Linked DNA regions of Kluyveromyces lactis. The protein of the gene in region 1 purifies or fractionates together with the protein of each later gene. This does not show direct contact. Links are inferred from orthologs where the notes say so. Each region holds a gene or a part of one and is shown on either strand. Other genes may lie near its edges. The genes, in order: RPL25, SDA1, SIS1, ARX1, RBG1, ENP1 and KLLA0_E14257g.

Region 1 (3,009 bases):
TGTATATGGCTAAGTTTTGCTCCATCCTCCACTGATGAGGAAAATGAACCATGGTACGTACTATCCTTCCCTCAGCAGTTAGCATTATTGATACTTTTCACAATGGCAGAAGCTTACTCATTATCCATAGTGGTGGTTATTTATAAAGGAGAGGTCATACTTAATGCCGTTATGATGACTTTGTTCGTTGTTATCGGAATCACCAGTACTTTGCTTTCTACAAACTATTTCCAGATATATGACTTCCAAAAATGGTACTATTGGTTGAATATGTTTTTGTGGGTAATGATAGGGTTCTCAATATCATCTATTTTCTTCCACTTTGACACAAATACAGACTTGTTAATGAGTTGGGTTGGAGTTATTCTCTTCACAGTCTATATATTCGTCGACACGCAATTAATCCTAAGAAAAGTTCTCGTCGGTGAAGAGATCAAATGTGCTATGATGTTGTATTTGGATATCATCAACCTATTTTTATACATTCTACGGATCATGTCAAGAAATCAAGACGATTAACACCTTTTGCATACTTACAAAACATGTAAATACATCTTATGTCCAAGTAAAAATATGTTCTGAACTACCCTTTATGTCTCAAGAGTCGATACCCAGATTCAATATTACAAGCTGTTAACGTCTCATACATTGATAGCTCTCAAAAGCTTTAATGAAATCCATTCTTTTCTTTATTTGAAACTAAAATGATTTAATTGAAATACACGATTTATTCAGTTGATATGTATACATTAAAAATGATTAGATGTAACCGATTCTGTTGGCAATGTCCAAGGCATCGAAGTCGGCAGTCAATCTGACGTAAGCCTTCTTGGTACCGTTTGGTCTAACCAAGGTGTTGACAGACAAAACATCAACTTCGTATAATTCCTTGACAGCCTTCTTGATTTGGTACTTGTTAGCCTTTAGAGAGACCTTGAAAACCAAAGTGTTACCATCTTCAACCTTCTTCATGGCAGTTTCAGAAGTGATTGGTTGTTCGATGACTTTGTAAGAGTCCAATCTGTTGTAGTGTGGGACAGCCTTGGTAGCGTACTTTGGAGATCTAGCCAACTTCAAGGTCTTTGGCAATCTGAAGGAAGCAGAGGTTCTGACCTTCAAAGCCTTCTTACCATTGGTACCCTTAACAACAGCCTTCTTAGCAGCAGTAGCCTTAGCTGTGGAAAAAATAATAATAGGAAATTTTGTTAGTAAAACTGGATTTAAATGTTGATTGAAGGATAACTAGTTCGATAACGGCATGATTTTCTTCTGTAAAACTAGAGAATTGACTTTAAGTGTATTAAATGTAAGGTGTATTTTATGCTCTGAACGGTACAGGGAAAGCGTCGAGTGGGCCTTTTAACATGTTTTCAAAAAACTTAACTCATAAACACCGATGAACCGTATAACTACGCATCGTAACTTTTCGACGTATCATGATAAAGTATTCCAATTTAAGGATCTAATCGAAATAGTAGTTGTTTAACCATCATTTAAAAGGCTGATAACTCGTACTTTATGTTCTCATTGCAGCGTGTTTGTGTTCATCGTTTCATTTGATGTTCATCCGCTTTCATGACAGGTTCACACATAGGTAATATCATGTACAATTATTCAGATCGTATTGTTGGTTTCTCATTAGCGTACTTATTCTACCATTCGTTTGCTCCCACAGGTGTGTAATTACACTCTCAAGGTAATATCTTCATTCTCACTTGTTCAGCCCGCGGTAAGTCGTTATCCCACCATTATCAGCATGTAGCTTTCAGTTGCGCATCTCAGTAACATACTAGATGGAGCCATTTTTGTGTCTTGGTTGTGTGCGGCCTCTTTGAATGCTAATCAAGTGTACTCTAATACCGAATGATATTGAAATATTCTTTAAAACGTTCAATATTACTTTTGATGAAACAATACAGATACAAGGTCGCAAGCGAAACTGTCCGTAGTCGAAAGGAATATTCAGCACGAACAGGGTATCCCTGGCCAGGTAGCACAATCGCACTGTGATTTGCAGGTACAGGATATGGCTCCAGGCTCAGGGAAGGAATGGATGATAGGCTGGATGGACAGCAGTTCCTGCCTACGCACCTCAGAATGTCAGTGCGAGTAGAGGGGAGAGTGGGCAGAATCAGAGTCCTCTCGCTGGGAAGACTAGACTCGAACGGAGCGACAGAAGGAGAACGGTGAGAACCTGGCAGCCGGAACGCCTCCTCTGCCTTTCCTTTTTTTAGAACCTCCAATTGAAATTTTAATTACCTAAAATGGAATACTAAAATACCTAACAATTTTTACAAAAAATCTAAAGCCAAATCCGTGCATCCACAAAACAGTCCCGCTACTTTCCGGAAAATTTTAAATCTTCGATGAAATTAGCATCCAGAGATTATAAGGCATGAGCAATGTCATAATTGTGTGAAATCATACTTCGAATTGCTGTCTTAATGTATTTAAACGAAAATTCTGGTGCGTTACGTTAAATTTATATACATGCATTATTTGTTATTATACCGAATTATTTTCCAAATTCATGTCTATACACAGAGACTATTAGTGAAAGATGAAATGGTGAGAGACCGAATCACAATCTTCTTGGTCTTGGGGCCTTCACACCACCGAATTTCAATTCAGTAGCATCGGCTACTCTAGATATGTGACGTCTGATGAGGTTTCCTTCCTTACCGTTCAATGCACTGATGAAAGCATCTCTTCCCTTACCGAAGTCTCTCATAACAATTTCTATATTCTTATCCAGTAGCTTCTTCTGATAAAGAGTTTCAAATAACTTAGTTGCTGTTTGGAATGAGGCTTCATATTCACCACGGGCAGCTTTACGGAACCCTAAATGACCAGTAGATAAATGAAATTTGACCTGTTGTGGGAGTTTCAAATAGTATAGATATTTTTCGTTGTAGGATAATTGTGGATTGTTCGCCAAAAAGTTTCTATCCTCCATTACGGCACTGTATGTGAAATGTGTATTGTTCTTAGTGAATCTGCAGTTCAATA
Region 2 (4,293 bases), on another chromosome or scaffold:
CAGAGGAAACGCTTCAGCAAAGATTGAATGAGTTTAAGAATACAACATCAGCTAAGCTCTCCGTGAAAGAGTTCCGTGATGATGAAACTGAGGTAAATGAGGGTGAGAGAAGTGCCGAATCGAAACCTCCTAGTTTCGATAAGAACAGACTAAAGGAAAAGAAAATAAAAGATTCTTTGGATACTAAAGAGATGTTGGAGACAAGCGAGGAAGCCGTGTCAAGAAATCCAATTTTGACTCAAGTGCTCGGAGCGCAGGAACTATCGTCTAAAGAAGTCCTTTATTATTTGAAGAAGCTTTCTGAACGCAGAAAAGCTGAATTCAGTCGTATAAAAGCTACGCATGGAATCGATGGAGAAGACTTACACAAAACTGAGAAAGACAAGAAACGTTCCCTGGATGAAATTGATGGATATAGTCTTGAAAAGGATCCATATAGACCAAGAAATTTACATTTATTACCCACCACAGCTTCTCTGCTTTCAAAAGTCAGCGATCATCCTGAAAATTTGGATGATGTTGATGATGCAGAATTGGATTCTCACTTGTTAGATGAAGAAGCTTCCAAATTGAAAGAACGTATTTGGATTGATATCAACGGTGATTACTTGATTGAACAAGAATCAAAAAGACTCAAACAGGAAGCAGATTTGGCCAGTGGGAATACTTCGCTACGAAAAAAACGCAGCAAACGTACTAATAGAAACCAATCCAGTGCAAGCATCGTCAAAGTTCAAGTCGACGGACTACCGCTTGATGTTTCCGTGGATGACGCTGATGCTGTAGATGTTGTCGCAGCTGGAGGTGTCAAGAATCTATTACAAAAGACGACTTTCTCAAAGAAGATCAATTACGATGCTATTAACGGTCTCTTTGGACAAAAATAGTTTCTACGTCGTCACTGTTTCTCTTCTCTTGTACGATATCCATCAGATCAAACTCAAGAAAATTATATGAATACCAACTGCTATTTACATATCGTTACTTGATACAGATGTCTGTTTTTGCTCTTTTTTATTTTAATATTTTACACTAAATTGGTGTATCAATTTCATTTCGATTATATTTTTGGAACTATATTTAAACGGCGTACATAATTTATAAACATTGCAAACAAATATTCGTTTGGTGTGGACTATTATTCATTTATGGAACACAATAATAAGCTACCATCAGTATACCATTTTGCCTATTCAGATATTAAAGAGCCTTAAACCCACTTTTTGCCTCTGGTTTCTTCTTTCCGTACCGTGAGTGAAAAGAAATTTTTTAGAAGGAAGAAAATTTTGAGATGAGATGCGATGAGATAGAACCTATGTATGAACAAAGTATATCACTCCGAGACAACTAAAGTTGCCTAACACTATTCGAACTTGTGCAAATCAACTAAGTATTTCCGAACAGTGAAAAGGAATCACATAATCAAATAAGAAACAAATATGGTTAGGAGATCTCGTGCTGCTATTCTACCGACAAACATTATTCTCTTGCAGAACCTTGTTAAGCGTGATCCTGAATCCTATCGTGAAGAGTTTCTACAGCAATATGCTCACTACCAATCATTAAGAGACATTTTCATGTTAAATTCGGTCAACAACGAGAGCACTGATGAAAGTGCAATGGCTGAGTTTATGGGAGCAATTGGATTTGTATCTCAAGTTTGTTCCTGTTATCCTCGTGAAACGGCAAACTTCCCAAACGAATTGAAACAGTTAGTATTAGATCACCACAAATCGCTTCCGTTTGACGTGAAAGAAAAGATTATCACCAGTCTAACTATGTTGAGAAATAAGAACGTTATCAGCCCTGAGACTTTGATTCAAACTATGTTCCCATTGCTTATTGCATACTCTTCCCCTAGTAATTCGATGGTCCAGAATTCTCACGCCAAAGAGCTAAGAACTTTAATCTACAACACTCTAGTACAGTTGATGAAATCTTGTAACACCAGTGGTAAGAACCAAAAATTAAACAAATCTACCCATGCGTTGTGTTTCAATTTGTTGGAACAGCCAGATTCTCAAGGTATATGGGCATCGAAATTGACAAGAGAGTTATGGAGAAGAGGTATCTGGGACGATTCAAGATCGGTTGAAATTATGACCCATGCTGCACTACATAACGATGTTAAAATTGCATACAGTGGTGTCTTGTTCTTTTTGGATGCTGATAAAGAGCGTGAAGAAGCGTTTGAAGAAAACGACGATGAGGATGAAATCGATACTACCGCTTTGAAGCACAAGCTCCAGATCAACAAGAAATCTAGTAAAAGAGGTAAGAAGCTAGAGCAAGCACTTAAGGTCGTAAAGAAGAAATCTGCTAAAGGTGTTCAACAGAATAATTTCTTAAATTTCAGTGCCATCCATCTATTACGTGATCCACAAGGGTTTGCCGAGAAATTGTTTGAAAGACATCTAAGTGGTAAGAATTCGAACAAATTTGATTTCGAACAAAAGACTGCCATCATGCAATTATTATCCCGTTTAACAGGTACACACAAGTTAATGGTTCTTGGACTATATTCATACTTCTTAAAATACCTGACGCCAAAGCAAAGGGACGTTACCAAGATTCTATCTGCTGCAGCCCAATCCTGTCATGATCTTGTTCCTCCAGAGACCATTGAAGTGATGGTGAGGAAGATAGCCAACGAGTTTGTTAGCGACGGTGTTTCAAATGAGGTTGCCACTGTGGGTTTGAATACAGTCAGAGAAATCTTGACTCGTGCCCCATTAGCTATCGATGAGACTTTACTACAAGATTTAACCGAATATAAGGGCTCCAAGGCCAAGAGTGTCGCCATTGCTGCTAAGGGTTTGATTGCATTATACAGAGAAGTTGCTCCGGAGATGTTAAAGAAGAAAGATCGTGGTAAGACCGCTTCTATGGGACTACAGGACGACAAACGCAATGGCAGGGAATCCAAACGTGTCAAGTTTGGTGTCGAGACTACTAATGTACAAGGTATAGATGGTATTGAGTTACTAGCGAAGTGGAAGCGTGAGAACGGAAACGAGGAGGATGATGATGATGAGGCTGCATGGGATTTGAACAACCGGGATGAATTATCAGATGCTTCGGATGTAGAAGGTGAGTGGGTGACGATAGAAAGCGATAAAGAGTACGAAGTTGACATGGACTCTGACGATGAGGAAAGCAAGAACAAAACAGGTCATAAGGGTAAGAAACGTTCCCACGATGAAGTCGAACCGGAAGCTGGTGAAGATAGTGATTTAGAATTATCCGGTGATGAAGAAGAACCAAAGGTGGGAGAAGAGCAGAAGGAAGAAAGTGAATCCGCTGACCCAGAAGAAGCTTTCCGTGAATTAGCATCCAGTCGTATCTTAACACCAGCCGATTTCGCTAAACTTCAAGAACTACGTACTGAAAAGGGTGTTACTAAACTTATGGGGATCAACAACGAAGAAACTATTGAGCATTACAAGCTTATGGGTCCAGCCAAGCACAAGAAACAGAACAAAGAGGAAAGAATGGCATCTATTATGGAAGGTCGTGAAGACCGTGAAAAATACGGAAGTAAGCGTGGTAAGCGTGACAGTTCAATGAGATCAACTACAAATAAAGAGAAATCTAGAAAGAAGAACTTTGTGATGATGATCCATAAGAGATCTGTGAAGGGTAAGCAAAAAATGTCGCTTCGTGACAAACAAAAGGTCTTGCGTGCTCATATCACGAAGCAAAAGAAGAAAGGTAATTAAACTAGATGGCATGGCAAAAGTAGTTATATTAATTATAGGCACTTGTAGACACAGCATATAAAAGATAGAAAAAAAAGACACGTCAGTGTCACGTGACCAACTCATTTTCTCCATTTAGCCCAGTTTTGAAGTTGTCCTTTCAGCCAATGTGATATCACCATCCGAGACCACTTGTCTGCTGCTCATATCCCAGGTCAAAAAGGACTATTAACACGGCTTAACGGTGTGCCAACGGTTTTGGACCGAGAAGGACATGATCTAACAGGGAAAAAAAAAACTCGAAAAGAAAAAGAGACCACTACAGGATGTTTGAGGAACTTCAGCTTGAATGGAAATCTCGACACTATCAGCTATATTCATGCGTCGGCATTAAGCCTTCTTCGCATCACGGGCTGTGGCCCGTGATGCTGGCCCGCACTAAATGGGGCCGGGAAGGCATATGTTCCAACGCGTTACTCTCGAGGGAACGATTTACTACTGCCTAGACTAGCTCGTCTCAGTATTATTCAATGTAGTGCAGCAGCATTCACCTGGGGTGATGTCTTTACAATAAAACCTATACAGTACAACAAGA
Region 3 (2,997 bases), on another chromosome or scaffold:
TTTTTTTTTTTTTGGCAGACATCAATTGTTCGGAACCAAATAGAAGTCGGGAAACTTGCAGATTGGTATGTCTTTTATTTGCATGATGTCATTTGCTCAATAAAAAGGTAAATGAAGGTTAAAATCTATGCAAATGGTTACATTGTGAACAGAAGTCGAGGTGTCACAATGAAACGTCCCGTTTCTTACTTTACCAGTATTAACAATCATTGAATAATTCTCCTTGTATTCTCTCGCATATTATATTGCGTCCTCAACTTATGTTGCGTGCTTCATTTACCGAAGGATATTTTTTTGAAAATAGTGTACAGTGTGGTCAGAAAGTTAACGCATTAATCGACAGACAATGTAGCCATACGATAAGATTGCTTCTGCTGAAGTGAATGTGAATGGAACATTTGAATTGGAAATAATTAATGGGAGTAAACATTTAAAGAAATGAAAACATATGACATAGAACCATAATGGTGGGAAGATAATATTTCTGGCAGACGTTGAATTGTAAACATGATCACCGTCAGAAGTCTAAATTTGCAATCGTCATGTCATACTTTTATGATTTATTTTCGTTATAAAGACATTCTTCATCTTTCATTCAGAAGTTATCCATAATGGCTTGTCTTTGTTGAGGTGTTAAAGAGGTTGGATAATCGATCTTGAACTTAATAATCAAATCACCTCTTTGGGAAGGATTCTTTGACAGTGTCATACCTTGTCCGGGATATGTTGAGGTTTGAGTAGGTTGAATTGGCTGCGTTCTTGTGATTGGAATTGTTTTACCGTCGATGGTTTGTACTTGCTTGGAGAAACCTAGAAGAGATTCTTTGAAAGAAAGTGGTAAAGTGTAAATCAAATCATTGTCTTGTCTGGTGAAAAATTCGTGTGGTTTTTCCTGTAGAACGAATTGTAATGTTTGTCTACCACCAGTTCTTGGATTATAGTCACCTTCACCTTTGAAAGTAATCTTGGTACCTGCTTTCCAACCTGGTTTCAATTGGATGTCAATTTGGTTCTTTTCGGACACACCACCGGCGCCTTTTCTTGTGATCTTGAATGATTTCTTCTTACCGCTGAATAAATCTTCTAAGGACACAGGTAGATTGACCTGAACAACTTCTTCTTCAGGTCTAGCCTGTTGTCTACTGAATCCACCTGGCATTCCACCTGGCATTCCACCTGGCATACCGCCTGGCATGCCGCCCGAAGAGGAATGGAAACTACTGCCTCCAAACCCGAAATCATCACCAGACCCGCCGCTAGCAGAGAATCCAAATGGAGAAGCACCTCCGGCAGCACCTCCTCCACCAAAGAACTGTGAAAAGATGTTGAAAGCGTCATCTTGTGAGAACGCATGTCCCCCGGCAAACCCACCAGAAGAAAATCCTCCAGGCCCACCAGGCCCACCAGGCCCTCCCGCTCCTCCAAATTGAGGAGCATTACCACGAGCAGCCTCTAGACCATAAGTATCGTAAACTTCCCTCTTCTGAGCATCTGAAAGAATCTCAAAAGCCTCAGAGATTTCTTTAAACTTCTCAGTGTCACCTGTAGGCTTATCTGGATGATACTTCAAGGCAGCCTTTCTGTACCCTTTTTTAATCTCGGCTTCACCTGCACTAGGCGAAATTCCTAGCAAATCATATAATTTAGTGTCCTTAACCATACTCCTACGACGTTTCAAATTTGGTAATTGTCCTTTTGTATATATGTCGAATGATAGTTCAAATTAGCTCTATCTAAACTAGAAGAATTAGAGTAAACTAAAAGAATCAGTTAATGTTTACACTGTTTCGAGATACCAATGGGACAAAAGATGCAATAAAACTCTTCTCTAAACATGTCGATCGAATACCAACGACCAATAATCTTTGAACGAAAAACATCCTGTTCTTTGAAAACCTTTATATAACATTTCATTCCTATATATTCAGGTTCAGTTCTGTTGCAACCGATCATGTTCTTTCAGAGTATACCCTGGAACCTTCTAGAAGTAAAAAAACATGAATGCTTTAAGCACGCGAGATTCATGTGACAATCACGTGATATAGAAGTTTCCCACCAATACAAATCTGTCATCACAAAGCCGCAAATCAGGTGTCATTCAATGACATTAGCCACTACACAATCTTGTGGCTATCTCTATGCCTCCACTTTTGTTTCAATTGCTGTTGTTTATATCTCAATCATGAATATTGACAAATTATGGTTTAATGTGATAAAGAATATGCAATATACTAGATGAAAGAAAGTCTTAAGGAATCTGAGGAGTTTTCAAGGCTTTTTCTCCCCTGTGAACAAGGTAGAGGTTTCTTATTGTGTACGGTCAGACTAACTTCAATATTGCCATGTCTGTTATTCTAGCGAGTGCTGGATACGACCACACAATTAGGTTCTGGGAAGCTTTGACTGGAGTCTGTTCACGAACCATTCAACATGCAGATTCCCAAGTGAATCGATTAGAGATTACGTCCGATAAGAAATATTTGGCTGCTGCTGGTCATTTACACGTCCGTCTTTATGATATACGGTCGAATAATCCAAATCCGGTGTCCTCTTTCGAAGGCCATAAAGGGAACGTAACGTCGATTGCATTTCAACAGGAAAATCGATGGATGGTATCGTCTAGTGAAGATGGGACTATTAAGGTTTGGGATGTACGGTCCCCATCTGTGCAAAGGAATTACAAGCATAATGCACCTGTCAATGAAGTAGCGATACATCCGAACCAAGGGGAATTGATTTCCTGCGATCAGGATGGGAATATCAGGATTTGGGATCTTGGTGAAAACCAGTGCACAAACCAGCTGACACCAGAAGATAACACGCCATTACAGTCGTTGTCCGTTGCAAGCGACGGATCGATGCTTGTTGCAGGAAATAACAAAGGGAACTGTTATGTATGGAAGATGCCTCATCACACGGATGCTTCCACTTTGGAGCCCGTAACTAAATTCAAATCGCATACTAAATATATTACCAGGGTCCTACTATCGGCGGATG
Region 4 (3,654 bases), on another chromosome or scaffold:
ATGATTTTATTGGCAGCTTCTTTAATCTTTTCTACCTTCACTTCCGATAACCCTCTAACTTTACACAAATTCCTTCTGGTCGTCGACAAACAAGTGTTAACGGTAAATATACCAGCAGTCTTCAATTTAGTTATATCAGACGCGTTAATTCCGAAGTTTTGTAACTCATCAATATTGACCACATTGGTTTTAGTTTCTGTCTCTGTAGACATGACAGCTTAAATAGAAATGGAATGGGACGTTTCAAGTAGAATGAAATGCAAAGTTATTGGTTTTTAGGATCACCTTCTCGCTCCTAGTTATGTGCACTAGATATCTCGCTATGTCATATTCATTGGTAGTTGGGTTTGTTGATTTGGTTTCTGACTCCAAATCCTTTTTATACTAAAATCTAATTAGCCGCCATCATTTTGAACGTTTTGATAATCCTTCCGAAGCAAACACACTAATAGTAGAAGAACTAATGACAAAGTTGAGAGCTTGAGTTCTATTATGATTTTGCTAGTGTACAGATCTACAAGATACTTAGAAGTTGCTATTTATACATTGTTTTTGTTGCAATTGGTTGGTAAGAATAAAGACTCATAAGAACAAGACTCTTGGGCTACCGAAATCAAACGAGTATTGAATATAATATGAACTGGTGTATCAATGTAGAGTTATTGTGTGCAGATGCGAAAAGGGTGTTTGTGTATGAAATAGAATTTGTTATCTGTTGAAGTAGTTCTATCAAAGAAGGTAGTTAATACTGGTAATGAATAAATTAGAATTTCATTTTCCATGGTTGAGTTTCTCTGATCTTCAAACCAAATCTCTTATCCTCGGACAATTGAGCCAGTTTGAATATACCTGCAACGATATTGCTTGCAGTATCCATAGAGTAAACAGAATGAACCCAGTTAGATTTTAGGTTTCCGCTGATTCTTAGCAACTCTTCATCACAGATGGCTACAGTGACACATTGACGGACCACAGGAACTGGCGTAGAGTGTTTTTTTAGCAAGGATTTCAACTGTAGGTTGGACAAACCTAGTTTAGGTAGAGGAAGCTCGAAACCTGGGTATAAACCTTTATTCTTTGCCATGGCGTCATAACTTGACACACCGGATGGGTTTGTTAGATCCAAGATCTTAGCCCAAGGAACGTGTTTTACGATGGTGACATCTCTGTCGATTGTTAGGTAGTTGTTAGAAATTTCAGAAAGACCTAATCTGAATGGCTTGATTTCTTGCTTGATGGTTTCGAAATCAGGCTCCTGTACGTCCAATGGGAAAGAATCAGCGATATGAGCTAATTTGGTAGGGTATACACCTTGTTTATCCAATCTGGTCAACACTTGTCTAGCAGCTCTTAACTTTAGAACATGGCTCTTTGAAAAATCACGGCAGATGGCACCTGGTCTAGCCACCACATCAGAGGATTCAGATTTACCGGAGAATTGATCGACAGTGTGTAAAGTGATCAAACCTGGCTCCAATCCTTGCAATGGAGCCAACTTCAAATCGATCATGTAAACTTCACCCTTGACAACGGTAAAATCATCTGTTGGGACCACGGTATCTTCGGTGATAAATGGGTTCTTACGCTTGACATCAACAGCAGTTTCATTGACGGTTCTAGCAAGCATAGCAGCTTCCTGATGAGACTCAGTCCAAATGACACCTTTGAAGTCTCTTTCGACAATGATATTTTCGTTTTGACCAGAAAGGAATCTTTTGATTCTTCTGATACGAGAACCAGGCACAACGCAACAATTATAAGATTGAGCAATGGTGTCAACTACGGTCCTAATCAAGGAACCAGTGACCTTCGTAGCGTTGAAATCAGCTGGAAGTTTGGTCAAATCGTTTGCAGCAGCTAATAAGTTAGTGACGGACTCAACAGCGATATGGGTGGCAGCTAGAGCATCAGCTTTACCACCTAGCAAAGCAGCTTCAGGTAGCAATTTTCCAGATTGGGCATCCTGAACGGTTGGGTAAATGACCACGGTGTGGGACACGTTACAAGTGTACCCATCGATGTGACAACCCAAAGTGATCTTAGCGACATCACCAACTTTCAAAAACCCAGACAAACTAGAAGTAACACCGTTACATAGCTCGATCGATTTGGTAGATCTAGATTTTTGGTTCCAACGGGACAAGTTTTCGATGTCATCCACTTCAGGACACCAGTTCTCGTTTATTTCATCGATATCAATACAAGTTGGCATTGAGATTCCCTTCTCGTTAACCTTATTGTTGAACTTAGTACTTAAACAATCGGCTATGAACGAATCAGTCAATAAACAAAGTTGATGAATCGGTAGCGGCTCCATAGACTTCTCATGATACATCTTATTGATCAAACTGATCAAAAAGTTTAAAGCAGTCTGAGCAATTTGACCTGCAGTTCTATATTTCTCAATTGTTGGTTCGATCAATACATTCTTATCTTTCAATAACACCTGAGTGTCTTCCTTTGAGATTTGTAACGCCATAGTACGGATAATTTTATCCACAAATTATTAGTATTAGCTGTTTTCTGATACAAAGGAGGGAACGATACACTATGATAATGATGTAAGTATGTACCTCGTTTCTCTTTACCTCATCTCATCTCATCGCTTTAAAGTTTTCACTGATACTTTTTTTTTCCAAATTTCTTTCCTGGATACAACCTTTCCTGCCACACAGCACTAAGATATTTCAAAAAATTTTCCAAAATATTACCCGGACCTCGATCAGAAGAGAATGAAAAAGAAATCACTTTCTGATCACGTGCGCCAAAAGTATTAATATTCGGGTAATGTGTATCATTAGAACTCATGACCCGCATATTATCCGGGTAATAGATCTGCTGCCCATGTTCCACCCAAACACCGCGCTGTGCACGTCACTTTTCCCACTCTTTCTAACAACAATCCCGTCTGTCTAATTGAATCAGCACAATAAACTCTACCTACACCAGACGAAACTGTCAGATATCCCATAATAAGTAGAATATCAATACTCTCCGCATCATCAGCTACCCAACGGTTCAAGTTTGACCCCAATTAGAGCAAAATTGACCTTGCTTATACCCACTTCTTGTTATTTCAAGTCCCTTATCTATACCGACTGGCTGGCTACGAAATTTTTTGAAGTTTTTTTCCCAAGTTCACAAGTATTTAAAGGCGGATTTAATTGTGAATATGATGAGAAACAGTTGTTGCGTGATTAAGAACCTTTTTTTGGTCTTTCAGTGATACTGAGCCAAGCAATTGATTAATTGACTGACTGATTGATTGATTGATTGATTTTTGTCAAATTTTTTGGAACAAGGAATCGTTCATTAGTTGGCTTTTTTTTGTTTTAATATAGAATCAGGAACTCAGAGCTTCTTCTTCTTTATTTCTTCTCTATACAACATATTTTGCCATCACTACTGCTGAGTGTGTATTTGTGTGTTCTAATTGTTGGTCGCTATAGTAGTTAATACCGAAAAGAACAATAAATTAGGCAAACCATGCTATCTTTGAAAGCTCAATCCTCTGTGGTTGGGAAGTCCAGCTCTTTGAGATTGGTTAGAAACTTTTCTAAAAACGTCCGTGCTTTGTCCCAGGTTGCTGATGAAACTAAGCCAGGTGATGATGACCTAGTTCAAATTGATTTGCCAGAAACCTCTTTTGAAGGT
Region 5 (3,024 bases), on another chromosome or scaffold:
ATGCAATGGAATCTATAGCATCAACTCCATTTTCTGAGAGCGACTGCAGTTATTCTTCTGATTTCCAAACTCCTGAGCCTGATAACAGTTCTGCATACAACGCAAGGCAATACGCAACTCCACGACTAAAAAGAATGGCGTTAAATAAATAAGGGATTTATTTCTCTGCGAATTTATCCGTTATTCAATGGAATACACTCTCATCAGTAGGCTGCATTTTCCTCCAGATTTCCTTGTTTGTTAATTCAAGCTGTACTATATCGCACCTTAAAAGGATTCATTAAAATACTGCTGTGATTTTGAGGATTCCACCAATACTATTCACATTCATTTCTAATAGAATAATATTCACTTCGTCAAATAACCGAAGTTTCATTCATTCATTCTTTCTTTCCATATCACCATCAGCATCCATCATTGCTTTTATATCTTAACATATATGTTGGCCAATATAAAAAGGCCATATGTATCCGTTGCTATCGATTTCACAAAATATCATATATTTACTACTATTTATGAATTTAAACATAACACGACAAATCAGTATTGAGTTAATGTTTAACAGAAGTTATGGCAACCTGAGTAATGAACGTTTACGATAATCTAACCAGATCCGTCTATGGAAAGCTGTTAAATAAAATGGATAACACTACATGAAAATGCGATGAAAATGCTAAAAACTATGATGACGGTGAGAAGAATGAGAAAAAAAAAGTAGCCTGTATTCATTTCTTCAAAATTGTGACAACATCTTCATCTTCTAATGTGTGATTAAGCCCCACATATTGAGGTTGATGCTTCACACTGCTGCCGTACACTAAAGCATTTCTGAAGTCCTCAACTAAAGATTTGTGAATTTGGTTACAGAAATCTCTTACGGTACACCTATCCGACCTTAACACCACTGGGTCTGTGAAATCAGGCATCGTACCCTTTGGCTTAGTATAAACACGGACTAAGTTTAGTCTATCCCACATAACTTCTAGTAGTTCATCCAAATTCCATTCCTTACCAGAAGAGATTGGAACTGCATTTGGAATTCTGTATAAAAGTTCCAATTCTTCTAATGACAAAGAATCTATCTTGTTTAGCACATAAATAGCTGGCATATACCTTCTTGATGGAGCTTCAAGTACATCAATCAAATCATCGACGGTGGCATCACATCTGAAAGCAAGCTCCGCACTGTTGATTCTATATTCACTCATAACAGCTCTAATTTCGTCCGGGCCTAGATGCGTCAATGGTACTGTATTTGTAATGGAGATACCACCTTTTTCCTTTTTCTTGATTAAAATGTCTGGAGGTTGCTTGTTCAAACGGATACCAACACCTTCCAATTCCTTTTCAATGATTTGTTTATGATGCAATGGTTTATTAACGTCCAAAACAATAAATAGTAGATTACAAGTTCTGGCCACAGCGATAACTTGTTTACCACGACCACGGCCATCTTTAGCACCGTCAATGATACCCGGCAAATCCAACATTTGAATCTTAGCACCCTTATATTTGATGACACCTGGAACCGTAACTAAAGTGGTAAACTCGTACTCAGCAGCCTCAGATTCTGTACCAGTCAGCTTAGAAAGTAAAGTACTCTTACCCACTGAGGGGAACCCAACAAATCCGACTGAAGCAACACCGGTCCTGGCCACATCGAAACCAACACCGGCACCACCACCACTACCGCTTGAAGCAGCCTGCAATAACTCTCTTCTAAGTTTCGCTAGCTTAGCTTTCAACTGACCCAAATGAAAAGAAGTGGCCTTATTCTTTTGGGTACGGGCCATCTCATCTTCGATGGCCTTAATCTTCTCTACTGTCGTAGACATCTTTTATTTCAATTCAGATATTGATCAGGAAATTCTTCAAAATAAATCCTTTTTTTATAATTTGATGCCAACCTCAGTGGAATACTGACTGATACCTATCGATTCCAACCGTTTAACTGATTTTGGCCTCTGTAACCAAACTATAATGAAACTCTAATATCATTAATCCTAAGCGATGAGATTGTGAATATCTGTAGAACTTCCTACTGTTGACAAAGATGAAGCTGTCAATTTTTTTCAAGCCGTCCAAGGTGATATTTTATACATCTTCAACGCCGATCGTAAATAGCGATGCTGAATGGCATCGACCGGTCTTCACCCCGAAAATAAGGCTAATGGGACCTTTCTGGCCCCTGAAAGATGAATTTTGGGCGCACCTCACCAAAGACAGGGTAATCTAGTATGTTATTTTTTTCTTTCCATCGAGGTACGTATAATCATGAACTTGAAGTTTTTCATCAGTTTTTTATTTTTTAGTACAGGTTTTTCTCACAACTTAAAACTATTTGAAAGATTGTTTTGCGTAAGATCAATTAAAAGGATTTTACATTATCTCTTTACTTGTTATAACCCTCTTTTACACTTTGTTTGCTGTCTATCATAATAAGATTTCGGAAGAACTGTAAAAGTAGAACCTTTGTATCCGAAAGAGTAGTTCAAGATGGCGAAAAAATCAAAGAAGAATCAACAGAATTACTGGGACGAAGAGTATGAGGAAGATGTTCCTCAAGAATCTTCAGTAGAACCCTCGATAGATGGTTCTGTTGAGCCAAGTGGTGAAACCGAAGTTGCCGATGCATCTGCCATTGAGGAAGATTTTATGTCCACTTTGAAGAAATCTAAGAAGAAGCTGGACAAGAAGGAAGACGAGGATACTAAGAAGCCAGTCTTGAAGTCCAAGAAGGAAAAGGAAAAGGAAAAGAAGGAGAAGGAGAAGGAGAAGAAGAGGGAACAAGCCGCAAAGAAGAAGGCTCAGCAACAAGCGCAGAAGGAAAACAACAAGAAACTTCATGCTGAACAAACTTCTAAACTGAAGGCTGAAAAGGAGGCTGGCAAGTCCACTGAAGGTGCGGCACCAAAGGCTGCACCAAAGAAGAAGGTCCCAGCCGGTCTTGCTGCTTTGAAACGTCAATTGGAGTTACAAAAGCAGCTAGAAGAAGAAGAAAGGTTGGCCAGGGAAGAAGAAGAG
Region 6 (3,516 bases), on another chromosome or scaffold:
GGTAAAAGAAGGGACAGCGCTGATACGGAGGGTGAATCATTTGACAAACAAATGCAAATTCAGGATGATCTTCAGAAGGAACTGGTTGAAGACATGTCCCAGCTAGTTTCAGGCTTAAGACAAGGTGCGGAAGCTTTCCAGAATGCTATCGAACACGACTCTACTGTTCTTAAGGCAGCAGAAATCGGATTGCATGTTACTTCTAAGAGCCTTTCTTCACTCGGATCCAGATTGAAAAAGTATCACAATGAAAAAATTGGATTTTTAATGAAGTTAGGACTTTTATCGTTTATTATAATTGGTCTATTGGTCACCTATCTTGTAATAAAAGTATTTCCAGATTTATGAGTGTCTTCCGCTAAAATCTCCAAGATTTAGATAAAGGCTCTGCTTCACTCAAAAGCTTCAAAGTACAAAATAGACTCATGAATATTCGATGAAATTAATTGATACCGTTTCCACTTATCGAATAGATTGATTCTATTGATTGTCTTATCTATAATTGCATATTATACACTTGTTTAAAATTGACAGGCACTTATATTGTTATAGGACTATTGACTACAGAACATCAAACATTAAATCAGCTTTATTACCAACATCACTGACAAATTCTCTACTATCACCGGCTAATAATTCTCTTCTGATTTCAGGTCCAATTTCTTTGTGACCTCTTTGACGAACAGTTTCAAGTAGGAAATCTCTTTGATCTTGGGTAATATCATTCTTATAACGTTGAGCAAACGCTAAGAAAGCTTTATGCCATACCACAGGTAAGACTCTGACGGCATCTTGGCCTGTACTTCCATCAGTGACTTCTCTGAATCTCATGAAGTAGAAGACACATTCGTCAACAGTTTGATAAGGCAAAGCATACTTCTTCTCGAGTAGAATTTTGATGAAAACGGTGGTGGCTGGGGAAAAAGGTAATCTTAAAAGGTAGGACAATGCTGCAGCAGAATGAAGAGCTGGCACAGAGACCTTGGATAACACACTTGCAGCAATGGTAGCTTCTCTAACATTACAACCGGATTCCACAAGTGGGAATAAGAACCCTTTGAAAAAGGCAGCCGGTTTATACAATGATTTCTTTAATGCACGGTAGACATGGTAATTTAAGTTGTGATCTTCGTTAAATTCAATTTCTTCTCTGAAGCGTGGTAACAACACAGCTATAACGAATTTTTGGGCCTCTTTAGATGATAAGTTAGAAACAAAAAGTTTAGTACCTTCGTATATAGCATGCGGAGACCATTCCTCTGGATTAGTAACATAGAGAACATCTTGCCAGTTATTTAGAGAAGGCAAAACTTTGAATAGTTTGGGTAGTTTACCATGTCTCCAGGTCTGCATAATGGTACCAACGGCAAGGTATGCTTGAATCACCTTGGGTGGTAAGGCGACACCTTCTGTACGATCTACAGGTGCAGCTGGTTCCGCTACTGCAGAGGCATCACCTGCTTCTTCTTCATTATACTGTAGTTCCATCTCTTTTTCTCTAATAGAAGCCATAATCTTATCGGCAAGGTTATATGATCCATTGGCAGAGTTGAAATCAGCAGAAGTCTTGAAATATTGGTCAAACATTTCAGCATCTTCTTCGTCAATTTCTACCACTTCTTCCTCCTCGTATCCTTCGAAATCGTCTTCATCTTCCGGTTCAAAGTCAGATATGTTATTACCTTGAGCTTCCTCTTCCTCAGCTACATCATCTTCATCCGCATAGTTGGCCACACAGAATCTGTTTATTCCTTGGCTGGATGTCTGCAGAGACTGCTCGTCCTCTTCCTCTAATTCTTCCTGCTGTTCCCTAGCTAATTGCAAAATTTTTCTAGATTGCTGGGCATCGACAAATTCTTCATCTTCATGGCCTTTTTGATCCTTAGCATCGATCTTTTTCTTACCTTGTCTTTTCAACTTACCATGTTGAGAGTCAAGATCGTTCAATAAAGGATCGTGTCTCTGTTTACGACCGCTGCCACCCATTACTTTACCCATTTTCTCCGTAGAACAAATAAATCTTGTATCACTAGTCGTATTCTGAGCACTAAAGCAGACACTAATGAGTAATTTTGTGATTGTTATCTGCCATTTACCTCATCTCATCTCATCTCATCTCATCTCATCGCTTCTCATCTCATCGTTACTTATTCAAATCCCAAAAATTTTCAGTCAATGCACGGACAGAAAAAGAAAGGCTAGAGATACTCTGTTTAGAGAAGTCAAAGGTTCAATTAAATAACTCTGGAGCATTGGCAGCGGGATCGTCGTGATTGAAACAGATATGCCACAGCGTTGAACACAAATTCAAGCTACTGTAAACAGCCAAGAGCTATGTTCTTCTAATGATTACAGGCAAAGAATGTTGTTTGTTTTGCACGTGACTTTAAAATCTGGAAAGATTTTTCAACTGCAGCTTAGATTCGTTTTACGTATATATAATTAACAATGGATCAAGTGTAATGTGATCTCATATGCGTGGTGACACATTGCTGGTCTCTTGTTCACTCAAGCTTCTCCCTTGAGTTGTACTTATCGATTGATCAAAAACCAAGTGTTCATTTCCGTTTTTTTCGTTCCTTGCAATCTTAGCAAAGTTACAATTAACATTAGACTAGGCCCTTCCAATTAATCTTTTAATTGACCACCAGTTACTGAAGAAATCATGTCTAAAAGATCTTCTAGTGTAGCGAACACTCCAGTTAAAAGGAAGCATTTACACTCTACTTTGAATCATAAGTTTGTTAGCATCAATTCTCAAGATGATTATAAACATTTGTATAGATCTGTTGTTCCACTTGACATTTTTGTATGGGGAACTGGATCAATGTGTGAACTAGGCTTGGGTCCTCTAGCTAAAAACAAAGAAGTTAAGAGACCTAGACTCAATCCCCTTTTGCCCCGTGATGAGGCTAAAATTGTGTCTTTTGCTGCAGGTGGAATGCACACCCTAGCGCTAGACGCTGACAATAACATCTGGTCGTGGGGGACTAACGACTCAGGTGCTTTGGGTAGAGACACTAGCGGAGCTGTAGAAAAATTGAAAGATATGGATGCAAATGATAGTGATGATGATGAAGATGGTGACCTCAACGAAATTGAATCCACTCCAACTAAAATTCCTAGAGACTCTTTACCATTGGACGAATTAAGATGTGTACAGATTGCTGCCACAGACAATCTATCTGCTGCTCTATTTGAAAATGGTGACGTTTACGCTTGGGGTACCTTCCGTTGTAACGAAGGTATTTTAGGTTTCTACAGAGATGAGATTACCGTCCAGAAAACCCCTTGGATAATCCCTAACTTCTCCAAGAAAGCCAAGATTGTTCAAATGGCTGCTGGGAAAGATCATATATTGTTCTTGGATGAAACTGGTATTGTTTACGCCTGGGGTAATGGTCAACAGCAACAATTAGGTAGAAGAATTTTGGAACGTTCTCGTTTGAGAACTTTAGATCCAAGACCATTTGGGTTGGATAACATAAAGTATATTTCATCGGGTGAAAATCATTC
Region 7 (2,830 bases), about 590 kb from region 1:
TCGATCTATTGATCTATTCGGCACCGAAAGAGGTGTAACTCTCATACGTTATATTATGACCTTTAAAATGTTATTGAATGTGGAGAAGGTTAAAATGATGACAGTTTTGTAAATTAAATACAACTAGTTGACAAAAAAAAAAAGAATAAACCGACGATCATTGCATTTGGAACGGGTTAAATTGACGACCCTTTTGTCTCCTCCTTGTTAATCACATGCCAAACTCTGAAGGGATGAGTTTTTGACCGTTGCTTTACCAGAATACTAGATGAACTCAGAATAGTTAAGTCACGTAAAAAAAAATGGTGCTTGTGTTTACCAGCTGAAAGCATCTTGTCAATAACGGTATCTGGCAGAGCAGCGTCAGTTTTCTTTTTTTTTTTTTTTATCATCTGGCTTCAGAATCGTAAGAATGTCCCACTTTTCAATCTGCATTGTATGGAAGTCCCCAACAACGTTGAAATGTCTCTGTTCTCTCATCATCAACAATGACTAGAAAATAGAAGACCGACATGGCAGCCGGATACACACATGCGCCCTCATATCCGAATCTTTGAACAGCTGCTGACACCAAAATTGTGTTGAGGCTGAAACGCTGATTAACTCCAGTTGTTACAGTAACGGTAATCTAATGTTTTTAATATGTTTAGTCACATGATCGATGCTAAAAGGTTATCGATTCCTCCATTTACATACACACATATGCATATATAAATTGATGTATTAACTATGCAAAGCTGACAGATTTCTTCTTCTTGATAGGTTCAGACTGAGCTGCTAATGTCTCTTGTTTCAGTTCTTGCCTTTTGGTTTTCCTACGAATAGTTCTGGCAACGGATGCCTTCTTCTTGATTTCATCTTTCTTACCCTCTAGTTGTTCCTTCTTTTCGGTTTCTTTTCTTTCCATTTCTTGTCTCTTTAGATCACGAATTTCTTCGAGTCTCCTTGTCTTCTCTAATTTGCTCTCTGTTATTTCATCATTTTTATCACCTATCGTTTTGATTAATCTGTTTAACGCTATTAAATCATGATCACCGATGAACTTCTTCCCCTTTTTACCCTTTTTGATTTTTACACCAGGTACAATCGCTCTATTAAGTGTTGGAATATTTAATTCTTTCTCGGTATAGCGTCTTTCCTTCTTCTTCTGGCTACCATATAGACGTGCTTTGAAATTATCCTTCTTCACCTGTAACTTGGTTGGTTTCTTGGTATCAGATTTTTCAGTCATTTTAGGCACGTTTGCCATTTGATTTTTGGCAATAGAGTCCTCGAATACTTCTGATCTTACTTCCCTCGTTCCATTTTGTTTCTTGGATCTCTTAGCCGTTTTTGATTGTTTGGGAGCCATCTTTCAAGTTCGATGGATTGTTATGCGTCAAGGATTTTTCTTCTATAAGTCTGATTATTGTAAATTCAGACTTGTCTCGCGGTTTAACTAGTAGACAGCGTACCCAGAGGTATAAATTCAAGTCCAGTTGTGCTTTTGTAGTAGTTGTGATAGTGTTCTACCAAAGCGATGAGATGAGCTCAATTCATCATCGAAAAGTTTTATTTTTATTTCTTTTCGCTTGGTAACACTTTATTTCTTGAATTCCTGCATGTCAATGTGAAAAAATAGAATAAACAATTAAAATAAAATAGAATAAATTAAATTAGATAAAAAAATATAAAAAAATATAATAATGATAGAAAATGAATAAATGATCAGAAACAATAAGATGATACAGAGTACACAACTCACGACTAGTATAAGGTAATATAGGTACACTGTGCTGGAGTTTAAATGTCAGATATCCGAATGATATTAGTTTTTCTTTCAATTGTCTTTTTAAGTATAGTAATAATAATGATAATCCATATAGTTATGTTGTATATTAAACAAGACAGTAGTGAACAAAGTGATGTATATATATCACGTGCAAATAAAATATAATTTCAAATTAGTTTTAATTCTTCTTTTATTTTTCTAGAGAAAATATCTATTAATTTTCTCATAATAGAAATAAATAAATTTTTACTTTTTTTATAATTATCTATTTAATTTAAATAAAACTTAATTCAATTTATTTTAAAATATTGTATAGTTTTACTATTCCGAAAAATAAATATATTTTCTGTTTCAATAGGAAATTAATAATAAATATTAAAAAATTAAGCCGGGAAGAAGGTAGTGGAGATGTTATTGTATGGAGTTGTGAGAGAACTTCTAAGGTGTCATTTTTTTTTCAGAAGCAGTAAATATACTACTGGAGCCGCTATGAACTAGGATCTATACGATAGCATATTGTTATTGATCAACAAATCCCGAAAATATATAAATAGAGTTTTCTTCATCGAATTCTTCCATTCGAATTTGACGATATATCTATCATTGTTCTACATTTATATGTATGTTAGACGGCATATACCAAGAAGAATATCGAAGAAGAACCAAAGAACATCATAAATAGTTTACATAACACATGCGAAGCTCTTAATTAAATCCCCAGGTTATCGTCCAGAAAGTACAGAAAAACCCGATCAGGAGATCGAAATGTCCATCATCAACTTTTACATCACTATCCCTCTAGACCAAGTCCCTAATGTCACTACTTCACAGTATCCTGTTCAATAAGAGACAGTACCATATTCTCAAAACTTGCTATTTTTCAATTTAATCGCGGTTAATACATTACCAGTAGTACAGATTTGGTTTATCAATATCAGGCCTAACTTATTCTTCTTATAATGAAGAAAGCTCTTAAAGTAAAATAGCAGTAGACAATTCTTGCCGCTAAGGCGCTAGTAATCCACGACATCGTGGTCGAAACTCAAGATAATCCAAAAA

The links.
Region 2: the proteins of RPL25 (region 1) and SDA1 purify together in Saccharomyces cerevisiae (affinity purification with mass spectrometry; 3 studies listed by BioGRID). This does not show direct contact. The link is inferred for Kluyveromyces lactis from reciprocal best matches to the Saccharomyces cerevisiae genes RPL25 and SDA1.
Region 3: the proteins of RPL25 (region 1) and SIS1 purify together in Saccharomyces cerevisiae (affinity purification with mass spectrometry; 3 studies listed by BioGRID). This does not show direct contact. The link is inferred for Kluyveromyces lactis from reciprocal best matches to the Saccharomyces cerevisiae genes RPL25 and SIS1.
Region 4: the proteins of RPL25 (region 1) and ARX1 purify together in Saccharomyces cerevisiae (affinity purification with western blotting; 4 studies listed by BioGRID, with this or other methods). This does not show direct contact. The link is inferred for Kluyveromyces lactis from reciprocal best matches to the Saccharomyces cerevisiae genes RPL25 and ARX1.
Region 5: the proteins of RPL25 (region 1) and RBG1 purify together in Saccharomyces cerevisiae (affinity purification with mass spectrometry; 3 studies listed by BioGRID, with this or other methods). This does not show direct contact. The link is inferred for Kluyveromyces lactis from reciprocal best matches to the Saccharomyces cerevisiae genes RPL25 and RBG1.
Region 6: the proteins of RPL25 (region 1) and ENP1 purify together in Saccharomyces cerevisiae (affinity purification with mass spectrometry; 3 studies listed by BioGRID). This does not show direct contact. The link is inferred for Kluyveromyces lactis from reciprocal best matches to the Saccharomyces cerevisiae genes RPL25 and ENP1.
Region 7: the proteins of RPL25 (region 1) and KLLA0_E14257g purify together in Saccharomyces cerevisiae (affinity purification with mass spectrometry; 3 studies listed by BioGRID). This does not show direct contact. The link is inferred for Kluyveromyces lactis from reciprocal best matches to the Saccharomyces cerevisiae genes RPL25 and LOC1.

What each region holds. Positions count from the first base shown.
Region 1 is NC_006041.1:675,200-678,208, reverse strand, and holds RPL25 (60S ribosomal protein uL23), read right to left. Parts: upstream 1,804-3,009; coding exon 1,791-1,803; intron 1,176-1,790; coding exon 760-1,175; downstream 1-759. Other genes in the region: BXI1 (Bxi1p), read left to right, coding at 1-519; MRPS18 (mitochondrial 37S ribosomal protein YmS18), read right to left, coding at 2,582-3,009. UniProt on the Saccharomyces cerevisiae protein: Component of the ribosome, a large ribonucleoprotein complex responsible for the synthesis of proteins in the cell.
Region 2 is NC_006037.1:498,658-502,950, forward strand, and holds SDA1 (Sda1p), read left to right. Parts: upstream 1-1,439; coding exon 1,440-3,719; downstream 3,720-4,293. Other genes in the region: transcription factor TFIIIB subunit BRF1, read left to right, coding at 1-887.
Region 3 is NC_006040.1:411,020-414,016, forward strand, and holds SIS1 (type II HSP40 co-chaperone SIS1), read right to left. Parts: upstream 1,661-2,997; coding exon 596-1,660; downstream 1-595. Other genes in the region: TOR complex subunit LST8, read left to right, coding at 2,343-2,997. UniProt on the Saccharomyces cerevisiae protein: Required for nuclear migration during mitosis. It is required for the normal initiation of translation. Might mediate the dissociation of a specific protein complex of the translation machinery. Essential for viability.
Region 4 is NC_006042.1:1,097,943-1,101,596, forward strand, and holds ARX1 (putative hydrolase), read right to left. Parts: upstream 2,480-3,654; coding exon 764-2,479; downstream 1-763. Other genes in the region: recombinase DMC1, read right to left, coding at 1-212; PDA1 (pyruvate dehydrogenase (acetyl-transferring) subunit E1 alpha), read left to right, coding at 3,487-3,654. UniProt on the Saccharomyces cerevisiae protein: Probable metalloprotease involved in proper assembly of pre-ribosomal particles during the biogenesis of the 60S ribosomal subunit. Accompanies the pre-60S particles to the cytoplasm.
Region 5 is NC_006042.1:2,172,901-2,175,924, reverse strand, and holds RBG1 (GTP-binding protein RBG1), read right to left. Parts: upstream 1,836-3,024; coding exon 726-1,835; downstream 1-725. Other genes in the region: KLLA0_F23309g (uncharacterized protein), read left to right, coding at 1-152; FUN12 (translation initiation factor eIF5B), read left to right, coding at 2,497-3,024. UniProt on the Saccharomyces cerevisiae protein: Involved in ribosomal function.
Region 6 is NC_006042.1:637,093-640,608, reverse strand, and holds ENP1 (snoRNA-binding rRNA-processing protein ENP1), read right to left. Parts: upstream 1,999-3,516; coding exon 562-1,998; downstream 1-561. Other genes in the region: SNAP receptor USE1, read left to right, coding at 1-348; SRM1 (Ran guanyl-nucleotide exchange factor), read left to right, coding at 2,666-3,516. UniProt on the Saccharomyces cerevisiae protein: Required for normal export of the pre-40S particles from the nucleus to the cytoplasm.
Region 7 is NC_006041.1:1,261,892-1,264,721, forward strand, and holds KLLA0_E14257g (Loc1p), read right to left. Parts: upstream 1,352-2,830; coding exon 728-1,351; downstream 1-727. UniProt on the Saccharomyces cerevisiae protein: Required for efficient assembly and nuclear export of the 60S ribosomal subunit. Involved in asymmetric localization of ASH1 mRNA.